3 linked regions of the Cricetulus griseus genome follow. The protein of the gene in region 1 interacts with the protein of each later gene in a pairwise test. Links are inferred from orthologs where the notes say so. Each region holds a gene or a part of one and is shown on either strand. Other genes may lie near its edges.

What was found.
Region 2: the proteins of Esr2 (region 1) and Src interact in a two-hybrid assay, tested with the Homo sapiens proteins (2 studies listed by BioGRID). The link is inferred for Cricetulus griseus from reciprocal best matches to the Homo sapiens genes ESR2 and SRC.
Region 3: the proteins of Esr2 (region 1) and Ncoa6 interact in a two-hybrid assay, tested with the Homo sapiens proteins (3 studies listed by BioGRID). The link is inferred for Cricetulus griseus from reciprocal best matches to the Homo sapiens genes ESR2 and NCOA6.

Annotation. Positions count from the first base shown.
Region 1 is NC_048598.1:127,334,554-127,338,206, forward strand, and holds part of Esr2 (estrogen receptor beta), read left to right. Parts: intron 1-2,786; coding exon 2,787-3,086; intron 3,087-3,653.
Region 2 is NC_048599.1:22,072,684-22,075,473, forward strand, and holds part of Src (proto-oncogene tyrosine-protein kinase Src), read right to left. Parts: intron 2,662-2,790; coding exon 2,482-2,661; intron 1,590-2,481; coding exon 1,513-1,589; intron 713-1,512; coding exon 559-712; intron 452-558; coding exon 320-451; intron 65-319; coding exon 1-64. UniProt on the Homo sapiens protein: Non-receptor protein tyrosine kinase which is activated following engagement of many different classes of cellular receptors including immune response receptors, integrins and other adhesion receptors, receptor protein tyrosine kinases, G protein-coupled receptors as well as cytokine receptors.
Region 3 is NC_048599.1:24,164,036-24,168,407, forward strand, and holds the start of Ncoa6 (nuclear receptor coactivator 6), read left to right. Parts: upstream 1-1,445; 5' UTR 1,446-1,631; intron 1,632-4,372. UniProt on the Homo sapiens protein: Nuclear receptor coactivator that directly binds nuclear receptors and stimulates the transcriptional activities in a hormone-dependent fashion. Coactivates expression in an agonist- and AF2-dependent manner.

The sequences.
Region 1 (3,653 bases):
ATACTATGAACAAAGGTTAAGCACACAAAGCAAGCCAGATGCTGCATGCAGCAATGTTATACAAAGAGCCTTTATAAATTTTAGAAGAGAATTTCCAGCTTGTGCAGCTGTGGGTCCTGGCAGACCAAGACAGGTTTATTTGTATCTACCTCGCTTATTTAAATAATAACAAGACCACAGAGGAGGAGAGGCAGATTCCCATAAGCAAGGCTGTAGAAAACCCTACCGCTACTGAGATTCAGGATGTATGCTCAGCAGCTGGACTGAATGCTTTTCTGGAGACAAACAAAATGTACTCCAGAGAATGGAACCTTGATGTTCAGTACAGAAACAGAGTCTGGGTACAGCTCAGACAGGAAGATGGCAGCTTCTGTCCTGTACAGTTCCTGTTATGTAAGTCAGTGGTGTTGTATGTAGCAGAAATGGTACCCAAGCTAAAAACAAGGACACAAAAAAGGAGAGGAGAGTAAAAAAGGGAAAGGCAAGAAGAAGAAATGATGTGGTGTGAACATGAAGCACACAGTCCTACTGTGAGAGACATGGGGCATCTTTGTGTCCGAGGAAACAGCTTTTTGTTTGTGTATTTAACTGAACCGTGAACAAGTGTGTCTCCCATTTTCATCAACAGAGTTAACAATGAGATAAGTTTACATCAAAAGTTTGCATCTAGCTTTTATACTGTAAAAAGGAAATATGTGTGAAAGAAAGAAGAATATTTTTAACAGATAATGACTGTTCCATTAGTTACTTGAAATCCTGTATCTGTTTGTCCTCTATGTAAACATATATTTCAGGTAAATAAATTTAATAAGACTTGAAATACACATTTTTCCACCTTTTAAGTTAAATAAAAATTTAAACTGACAAAAATAATACATTTTAGAAGAGAAAAGCATAAAAATAAATAGACAAGTCGGGCAGTGTTGGAGCATCTTTAATCCCAGAACTGGGGAGGCAGAGACAGGCAGATCTCTGTGAGTTTGAGGCCAGCCTGGTCTACAAAGTGAATTCCAGGACAGCTAGGACTGCACAGAAAAACCCTGTCTTGAACCCCCACCTAAAAAGATAAGCAATGTACAAGGAAAGAAATACAAAGGGCAAACATTTTGTGAACATTACTAATAATTTTAAAAATGCAAAGTAAGAAAAGACTGTTTACCATTCCCAAAACCAACAAAGATTAAAAGTAACACTAAAGTCCAATATTATGGGAAAACAATTAATCCTTAAATTACTGTTTAGATTATGAATTTTTAAATATTTTGGAAGGTAATCTACCAATAACTATAAATTTTTTTAATGTATGTATTCCTTGTTTGAACAAGTTAACTTCTTTGAATTTATTATAAAGAAGTAATTGAATACACCAATAAGGCACATTTTTCACTGCAGTACTTAATAAAGAAATTATAATAACATAGCCTTATATCAGCATGGGACATTTTAGGTTCTGTTTTTTGAGGTATGGTCTCCTTTACTCTACAGTTCACGCTGGCCTGGAACTTACTATGTATAGTAAGTATCTCAAGTTGGCCTGGGATGTGTGGTGATCCTCTAGGCTCTTCCTGGGTTCCAGTGAAATAAGTGATGTTGTATTAATGGGATGGATGTGAACTTGGTTTATTGTTGTATGTTCATGTGTGTATGGGGTGTGTATGTGTTACAGCACACCATGGAGATCAGACAACTTTTGGGAATCAGTTGTCTCTTTCCATCCTGTTGAGGCAGTGTCTCTCTTGTTCTTTTTTGGCACTGTATTCTCGAGGCTAGCTGGACTGTGGGCTTCTGGGTAGTCTTTTGTCTCTGTCTTCTGTAGGAGTGCTGGGATTACAAATGTAATGTTGCCCCCCACCCCGCCGCCCCCCAGGACAGGTTCTCATTATGTAGGCTTGGCTGTCCTGGAACTTACTCTGTAGACCAGGCTGGCCACAAACTCACAGAGATGCACATAACTTCTGCCTTGCGAGTGCTGGAATCACAGGTATGGTCCACTACACCTGGCATATAAGGCTTTGTTTACTTGAATTCTGAGTGTTGAACTCAGGTCGTGAAGCTTGTATGGCTGATGCTGTTACTCACTGAGCTCTCTCCCCAGCACAAGTGACATATTTTCAATAAGATTAAGAGTAGTTTATGAAATTGCATATATGCTATGATTTGAATTTTGTTTATAAAATATAAAGAAGCATAAAAGAAAAGATAAATGAAATAATTTATGCCAAAATTAATTTTCTCTTGTATTTTCCAGGCCTTTTCAGTTAATTTATTTGAAATATATTTGTTTGTGTAAGTATATAAAAAGAAAAAAATACGTACCTGTATAGAAATGTTTTTGAAATGTCGTTAGCATGTATTATTTGCTAACTGGAAATAGCAATGTTAAACTCCTGATTTTTCTTTATTTTCTACTTGAGGAAAATGTCTAACTTCATATCTTTGAACCTGGGGTCTATCAGTGCACTTTAGAAGAGAAACAGATTCAGTAGCCAGTGATAACCTTGAAACGGAGTAGAAGTTCCCAAACACGTTATGTTGCTAATACACTCAGACAGTTGTTATCTTTTTCCATGGCCCACAGACTCCAAAATAAAAATTGGAATGATGTTGTCAACACAGTTTCTTACAGTGCTGGGACTGGGAGTCGAACTCAGGGCCTTGCACTTTCGAGTCGAGCACTTAACCTACTCACCTACACCCTCAGCCCCTTATCATTTTAGACTGGTCATTCTGTGAGCTGGAACCTTGGGCGGAGAAACCACTAGATTGTCATCTGCTCTCCTCTTTAGGATCCAGGAGAGAAAGGTGTGGGTACCGTATAGTACGAAGACAGAGAAGTTCCAGTGAGCAGATGCACTGCCTGAGCAAAGCCAAGAGAAACAGTGGGCATGTCCCCCGTGTGAAGGAGCTACTGCTGAGCACCCTGAGCCCAGAGCAGCTGGTGCTCACCCTCCTGGAGGCAGAGCCGCCCAATGTGCTAGTGAGCCGTCCCAGCATGCCCTTCACCGAGGCCTCCATGATGATGTCTCTCACTAAGCTGGCCGACAAGGAACTGGTACACATGATTGGCTGGGCCAAGAAAATCCCTGGTAGGACTCTCTACATCTTGACTTCATTCTGTCTATTTGTAACAAGGCCTGTCTCTCACATTCTGGGGGCTGTGAACTTCATCTGAATATGTAATTGTTATTCTTTTGTTTAAAAAGAAGAAAAGAGAAATATTGAGACAGACATATTGACTATAAGTTTATTATAAGGGCCGGTAGAATGGGGAGACTAAAAAGAGGAACAGGGGTAAATGGCTGACCGCCATGGCCGGTCGCCATAGAGAGAGAGCGGGGAAACAGAGAGAGGGGACAGAGAGCAGGAACAGGGGGAGAGAGAGACAGACAGACAGAGAGAGACAGAGAGAGTAAAGGGGCAGAGAGAGCGTAAATGTGCAGGGGCCTATCTTTTAAAGGGGTCCTCTGCACCTGCATGCAGACTTCTTTCCCATGGAACCTTGGGCTGACCAGGGTATTGCCTGAGTGGATTCCACCAGGTAACAGGGGCAGGCCAGCATAATGCCTGAACCTTTCATTCCCACCTCTACTTATTATTAAAAAAAGGTGGGGTGTTTAGACATGGCAGGTTAAGGAATAAGGGCGTCGAATTCT
Region 2 (2,790 bases), on another chromosome or scaffold:
TCCGGGGGGCAAGGCATCCGGTAGCCCCGCTCCACCTGGTCCAGCACCTCACGGTTCACCATCCCTATGAACAGAGGGCTGTGAGGAGATGGCTCAAGAGACTGATGCAGCCTAGACAGCTTTCAGTCTATGGTGGATAAAACCCTGTCTCTGAGGCTAACAGCACTGACCAGAGGCAGCCCGAGACCAGAAACCAGCCTCTTTAGTATCCAGCCTAGGAAAGAGGAAGCCCAGAGGTGGTATGTATGTGTGTGTGGGGGACTGGGGGTGAGACTTGCCCCTAGGACCAAGGTCAGGGTCACAGGTGTAGCCTCCTCACCAGGATAGGGCACCCGTCCCTTCGTGGTGAGCTCGGTCAGCAGGATCCCAAAGGACCACACATCTGACTTGATAGTGAACCTGCCGTACAGAGCAGCTTCGGGAGCAGTCCACTTGATGGGGAATTTGGCACCTAAAGGCAAGAAAGCACAGGGTGTCACTACCAGTCTGCCGTAGGAGCATTACCCTCGTTTCCACTTGGCGGACTGACACCATCGGATCCATCCCCAGAGCTCCCACCTTGCCGGGCTGTGTATTCGTTGTCTTCTATGAGCCGGGCCAGACCAAAGTCAGCCACCTTACACACCAGATTCTCCCCAACCAGGATATTGGCAGCTCGGAGGTCCCTGTGCACATAGTTCATCCGTTCCACATAGGCCATACCAGAGGCGATCTGTAGAGACAGAGAGCCTGGCTCAGCGGCCAAACCCACACCCATCCCAGGGTTGTAAGCAGGTGTCCTGGGGTGGTCATTGCCTGGGATGGAGAGACAGCCAAAAACACCTTTCCCATCCCATGTCTTTTCAAGCAAGGAATTCATTCAGCTTATAACAAACATCACTGGTTTGAAAAAGTAGACCACGGCTGAAGAGATGGCTCAGTAGTTAAGGCACTGGCTGCTCTTCCAGAGGTCCCTGAGTTCAAGTCCCAGCAACCACATGGTGACTCACAACCATCTATAATGGAATATGATGCCCTCTTCTGTCCTGTAGGCATATGTGTGGACAGAGCATTCATACCTAAAAAAATACATAAATAAATACAATTTTTAAAAAGAAAAAGAAAAGGTAGACCAGAGCTCAGTGGGGGAGGGGGACAGGCAAAGGGCAATGGGAAGGTCACAACAAGATGCTGCCCAGGAAGCAGGTGAGTATAAAAAGAGGTCCCAGATGACTCAAGGACACAGGGACATGGCTGGTCCTGTCTATTGTCCCACGTTCCCTCTGAGTCTTAGTTTCCTCATCTACCAAATGGAAATAATAAATGTTAAACTTTTAGTATTTTATTTTAATTATGTATATGTCCATCTCTGATGCTCAGATATGGTATATCGTCCAGGACTGCCACCCCTGGCACCAGCAAGGGCTCCACTGAGTGGCAAGGTGAGATTTGGGTGTAATGAAAGTAGGCCTCCTAGAGGGGGCGCGCTGAGCCCAAGAGCTCAAGGTGTTGTAGAAAAGCTGAGAGACTCACCTGAGCAGCCATGTCCACCAGCTGCGGTAGCCGCAGGTATTTGCCGGTTTCCCCCTTGAGAAAGTCCAGCAGACTACCTGGAGAGAGAGAGAGAGCCAGCTCTAACCCTGCCAGGGTTTCCCTGTGCAGGAAGCTGTGGCTCCAGACCCTGGCTACCTGCTCAACAAGTAAGGAGAAAAGCTTCAATTCTGTGTTTGGCACTCAAAGGTAAACACTCCAGGGAGCTAGACCAAGAAATCCTACTGGGCCCTGTAGTGGGGGATGTGTGTGTGTGGGGTGGGGTGGGGGGGATGTTACATGCAAAAGACCACGTGTAAAGCCCAAGACACATTATGTTTATTTGGACCAAGCCTGCCAGCCAGTGGCTGCCTGGGGCTGGGGAGTCCCATCTCTAAAGGCAGCAGGCAACTTTGGAGTAATGTGGGTGCTATGGATGCATTTTTTTGTTTTGTTCTGAGACGGTGTCTCAAGTAGACCAACTCACTATGCAATGGAGGCTAACCTTGAACTCTCGATCTTCCTCCTCCTCCCCTCTCAGGGCTGGGGTTACAGGTCATCATGCCTAATTGGCAAAGTGCTGAGGATCAAACCTAAGGCCAAATCCAGGGCCTTGGGCATGCTAGACACTCTGCCAACTGAGCTACATCCCCAACCCCACACTGCTGTTTGCTGAGACAGTCTTGCTATGTAGCCAGCCTCGCCTCAGATTCAGGGTCCTCCTGCTTCAAGGCCCGGGCACTGGGATTGTGGTGTGAGCCACCAAACCACCCAGCGACAACAGAGATCGTAACAGTGCTAAAGGACAAAAGGATAACCCTCTAAAAAAGTATTATTTCTTGTTATTATTTATGAACGGAGTGAGGCAGTCCCTCAGGTAACCATCCACTCATCGGGGTTGGCTCAGGGTAAGAAGTGTGGCCTGCCCTGCCCAGGCCCCTAATTGGAACTCACTCCAGGCACAGGCCTTACCCTTGCTCATGTACTCTGTCACGATGTAAATGGGTTCCTCCGACACCACCGCATACAGCTGCACCAGTTTCTCATGCCTCAGTTTCTTCATGACTTGGGCCTCCTGCAGGAAGGCCTCTGGAGACATGGTGCCCGGCTTCAGGGTTTTGATGGCAACCCTCGTGGTGCCATTCCAGGTCCCTGTGCGGGAGGGACAGCAACCTCAATACAGGCCACCATTCTGTCGAACTGGGGCCAGGCTAGCCTGCATGGGTCTTATCTTAACTCTTCCCCCCCCCAACTCATGGAATGGGCTCAAGCAAGGCCAGG
Region 3 (4,372 bases), on another chromosome or scaffold:
AAAAATTTAATGTGTGTGTATGCCTGTACACATGTGTGTAGGCATATACATGCTAAGGGGCCAGAAGACAACTTGTGGGAGTCATTTCTTTCCTCCTGTCGTGTGAGCTTCTGAGGGAACTCAGCTTGTCAGCCTTGATAAACAAGTGCATTTATCTATTAACCAATCTTGCCTGCCTGGGTTTTTTTAATTAAAAAAAATGATTTTAGGGACTGGAGAGGTGACTCAGTAGTTAAGAGCACTGGCCACTCTTCCAGAGGACCCAGGGATTCCCAGAACCCAGATGACAGCTCACAACTCTCTGTAACTCCAATTCCAAGGGACCCAACACCTCTTCTGACCTCCACAGGCCTCAGGCACAAGTGTGTGGTGCACATATATACACGTGTGGAGAACATATGTACATATGTGCTACATACACACACACACACACACACACAGGCAAAAACACTCACATAAAAATAAATAGATCTTTAAAATAATTATTAATAGGTTTCATCATGAGATTTTCATACATGCGTATCACGCTTATAGTTACTTCGCATTACCTCTCCCATCCCTTCTGCCCTCAAATAGTTCTCACTCTGCAGCTTTTATCACACACACACACACACACACACACACACACACACACACCCCTAGATTCTGTCGAATCATTTTTAGTAAGAGAGTGGCACGCTCAGAATTCTGACGGAGGAATATTACTAGCAAGAAAAATAGTGGCGCACGCTGGCGGTGCTGGTAAGGGTGGTACCCATACCAGTCTATGTGCACAGTGTGCACTCAATAAATACCCGTGGAAAGAAAGCGTTTCAGAGTCCTCTCTTAGATGAGACACTATAACTGAGCCGTTAAGAATCCACCTGCCCCAACCGTCCTTACAGAGGAAGAAGCTGAGACACAGAGGTAAAGAAAATCATGAAGCTAAGGGGTGGGAACTGATTTAAGTGACTCTGGGCTCAGCCCAGTGCTAAGAACACTTCCCTGCTTTGGGAAGAGAGGAAGCCAGAGGCCCGCCTCCACCTGTTCACTCACCAGTTCTATTTTGTGAGCACCTACCGTGTTTGTTAGGGTGGTGGGACGAAGTGGGGGGGGGGGAGATAGAATAAAGGTTATCTTTATCGTCAGTCATTAGACGCTTTCCAAGCCTTTCCCTCATTTCCTCTGCGCAAGGAAATACTATCATCCCCATAGCTGGGGAGAGCACACTGAGGCGTGGAGCGTTACGCAGCACACACAGCCAGCCGCTGGGACAGCGCTGAACATGCACGCAGACCAAGATCGCACCCAGCACCTCGGCTCACATGCTCGCTAGCAATCGAGCTCGCGCGCTCCACCTTGCGCGCCAGGGGACGCCCGGTCACGTGGGCAGGGCCCCGCCCCTCGGGCCCGCCCCGCCCCGCCGCGCTCCCTCCCTCTCTCCTTCCTCCCTCCCTCCCCGGCCCGGTCCGGCCCATCCCCCCTCCCCACCGGCTCCCTGAGGCCTGCCGGGTCGGGCTGCGGCGGCCGGGCGCCGACGGCCGGACGGACGGGCGCACGCGAGGACCGGCGGACGGACGCGCCGAGGGCGCCGGGCACGCACGGCCCGGGCCGGCGCTGCGAGGCCCGCCCGGGGCCGGGGCCGCGCTCAGGTGAGGCGACGGCGACGCTGGCCCGTAAGGGGTGGGCCTGCTGAGCGTCCCGGGCCCGGCCCGGCAGGCTTCGTGGGGAGGAGGCCCGCCCGGGCCTGGCGCGCGAAGATGGCGCCGGGCGGCCGTGCAGCTCGGCCCGAGTGCGGCCCGGGCCCGCAGCCGCCCCACCCGCCGCCGCGCTCGTGTCCCCGTCGCCATGTTGGGGAGCGGGCCCGGGGCCTGCGGCGGGCGCGGCGGGAGCGGCGGCGGCGGTGGGGAGTGCGGGTCGGGGCCCGCGGAGTGCAGGCGGCCGGGGTTGCGCGGGCGGCGCTGCGGCCCAGGAGCCGGCTATACCGCGGGCGTGAGGTCCGGGCTGGGGGCGCGGAGAAAAAGACCCCGGGAGCGGACGGGACCGGGGTTGGGGGCGGGGCCGAGGGGGCGGCGGGCCGAGGGGGTGCCGGGCGGTGGAGTTGGGTTAGGCCGTGCGCTGTGAACCGAGCCCCAGAGCAGCAGCCAGGGGTAGGGGAGGCAGCTTGGGGGCCGAGTCCTGGCTGTCAGGGCTGGAGTTGTTCTTTGCGTGCGCTGGAGGAGATTGCTTAGGAATGGGGGTTGCGAACTCGGGGATCAGAGTGGGTCACCGACGCGGGAATCAGCCTGGAAGGGTCCTGGCACTGAATGGCCAGTCTTTATGACTCCCAAGGGTCTCGGGACCTGTGAGCCCTGAGGAGCCTCCAGTCCCGTTGGAGGCAGCAACAGGAAAAGGGAAGAGCTTGATGAGGAAAGAAAGGGTGCCAGGCAGGGGCTGGATGTAGGAGCTGGACAGCAAAAGGTACAGAGTGGAACTGGTAGGAAAGGAGAGAACCTCCATCAACTTAAGGAGTTGTCTTTAAAAGGAGGGACCCGGCTGTTTGGGGGCGGTGACCCAAAGTGTGTTTCCTGGAAGGGGACAGCCGCTGCTTAAAGAGCAGGGTCACCTGGGGAGGTCGTCTGAAAGGTCTTGTTGAAACTAGTCAGAATCGTGAAGAAGGAAAGGACATGTAATAACTACGGTGGCTTTACAGAGATCATGCCATGGTTTCAAATCAAGTAGTGATTTTAGCCAAGGTAATTGATTTCCTAAGATAGTTTGTGTCGGTGACAGAGGCTCCTGGATATGGACTAAGGCTTCCTCATTCAGTTGCTAAGTCAAACTCCATTAAATTATCAGAGTCATTAATTTTTGTTTTAACAAGTTTGTCAGTACAAAGCCTGAGTGGGATACAAAAATGTATAATCAATTATTGGATATTTCCTAGATCTCCATTGATACAAAAAAAAAAGCATCAAGAAAGAACCTCTTTCTAGAGTTTAAAAAAATGTTCCCCCTCGTCTGGATGTTTATTGCACAGCAAAAGAACACAAAAAGCTTAAAAGGGGAAAAAAGGATAATGATAGAGACCTAGGGTCCCCATCATATTCACTTTAATTGAATTTCTGTTATAAATAGGCAATTGAGAGTTCAAATGGACTATGAGATAAATCAGCCAGTGATATATAGTTGACTTTTAATGTCCCTGAGTTTTGCATCTACAGCTTCAACCAATCACCGATTAGAAACATTCATAAAACAAAAAATTGAAACTGTGCTAAACATACAGGGTTTTTTCCTTGTCACTGTTATTTTTTCTTGTTATTATTATTCCCTAAACTAGACAGCTTAACAACTGTTTACATGACATTTACATTTTATTGGCTATTACAGGTAGACAGGATACACAAATATTGTATCACTTTATATAATGATTTTGATATCCTAGGAGGTCCTAGAATCCATTGCCCATGGATATACCAAGGAATGACAGACAATACAAAACTCCACATAATTAAAAAACAAAACAAACTTAGAAGCCAGGCACGGTGGTTCACATCTATATCTCAACACATAGGAGACTGAGGCAGGAGAGTCTGGGCTATAGAGTAAAGGCCCTGCCTCCAGAGGAAAAAAAATAGACTTTCAGGTGTTGGCATTGTAGTTAAATGGTAGAGTGTTTGCCTAGCATACAACATAAGGGCCTTGGTTTTATTCCCAGCACAAAAGGGATGGAGTTTAATCAAAAGAATTTTATAAGGATTTTCAAAACCACATGTATATTCAGTACCAATTTTTCTGAGTCTTTCTAATGCAGAGATCTGATCTTATGTGTGCCATGGTCCCTGTAGCATGGATCTCTCAAAATAATATTTTTAATTGTATAAAGTAAATGACATTGATTACAAAGGAAACTAGTTACATTCAAATAGTTACTAAGTATAAAAATTGTTTATGCTGAAGTATCTGTACACCTATTTGTGAATGTGGTGGTAGGGATTGAACTCAGGGTCTTGCTCAATCTAGGTAAGCCTGCAATACTGAACTATTCCCCCCTTGCAGAGTGTGTGTGTGTGTGTGTGTGTGTGTGTGTGTGTGTGTGTGGAGGAGGTGGAGGAGTAGTACTTATCGAGTTTGTGCATATGCATGGGGAGACCAGAGGTTGACTTTGGTGTCTTCCTTGATTGTTTCTCTACCTTATTATTTTTTTACCTTGACATTTTATTTTCTGTAGTTATTTGTGTGTGGGGCCATGTGTGTGGAATCTGAGGACAACTTGTGGGGATCACTTCTCTTTTTCCACTTATGTGGGTATGCCAGAACTCAGGTCATCAGGATTGACAGATAGAGTGCCTTTACCTGCTGAGCCATTTTACAGTCTCAACCATTTTATTTTTTGAGACAGGGTCTCTCA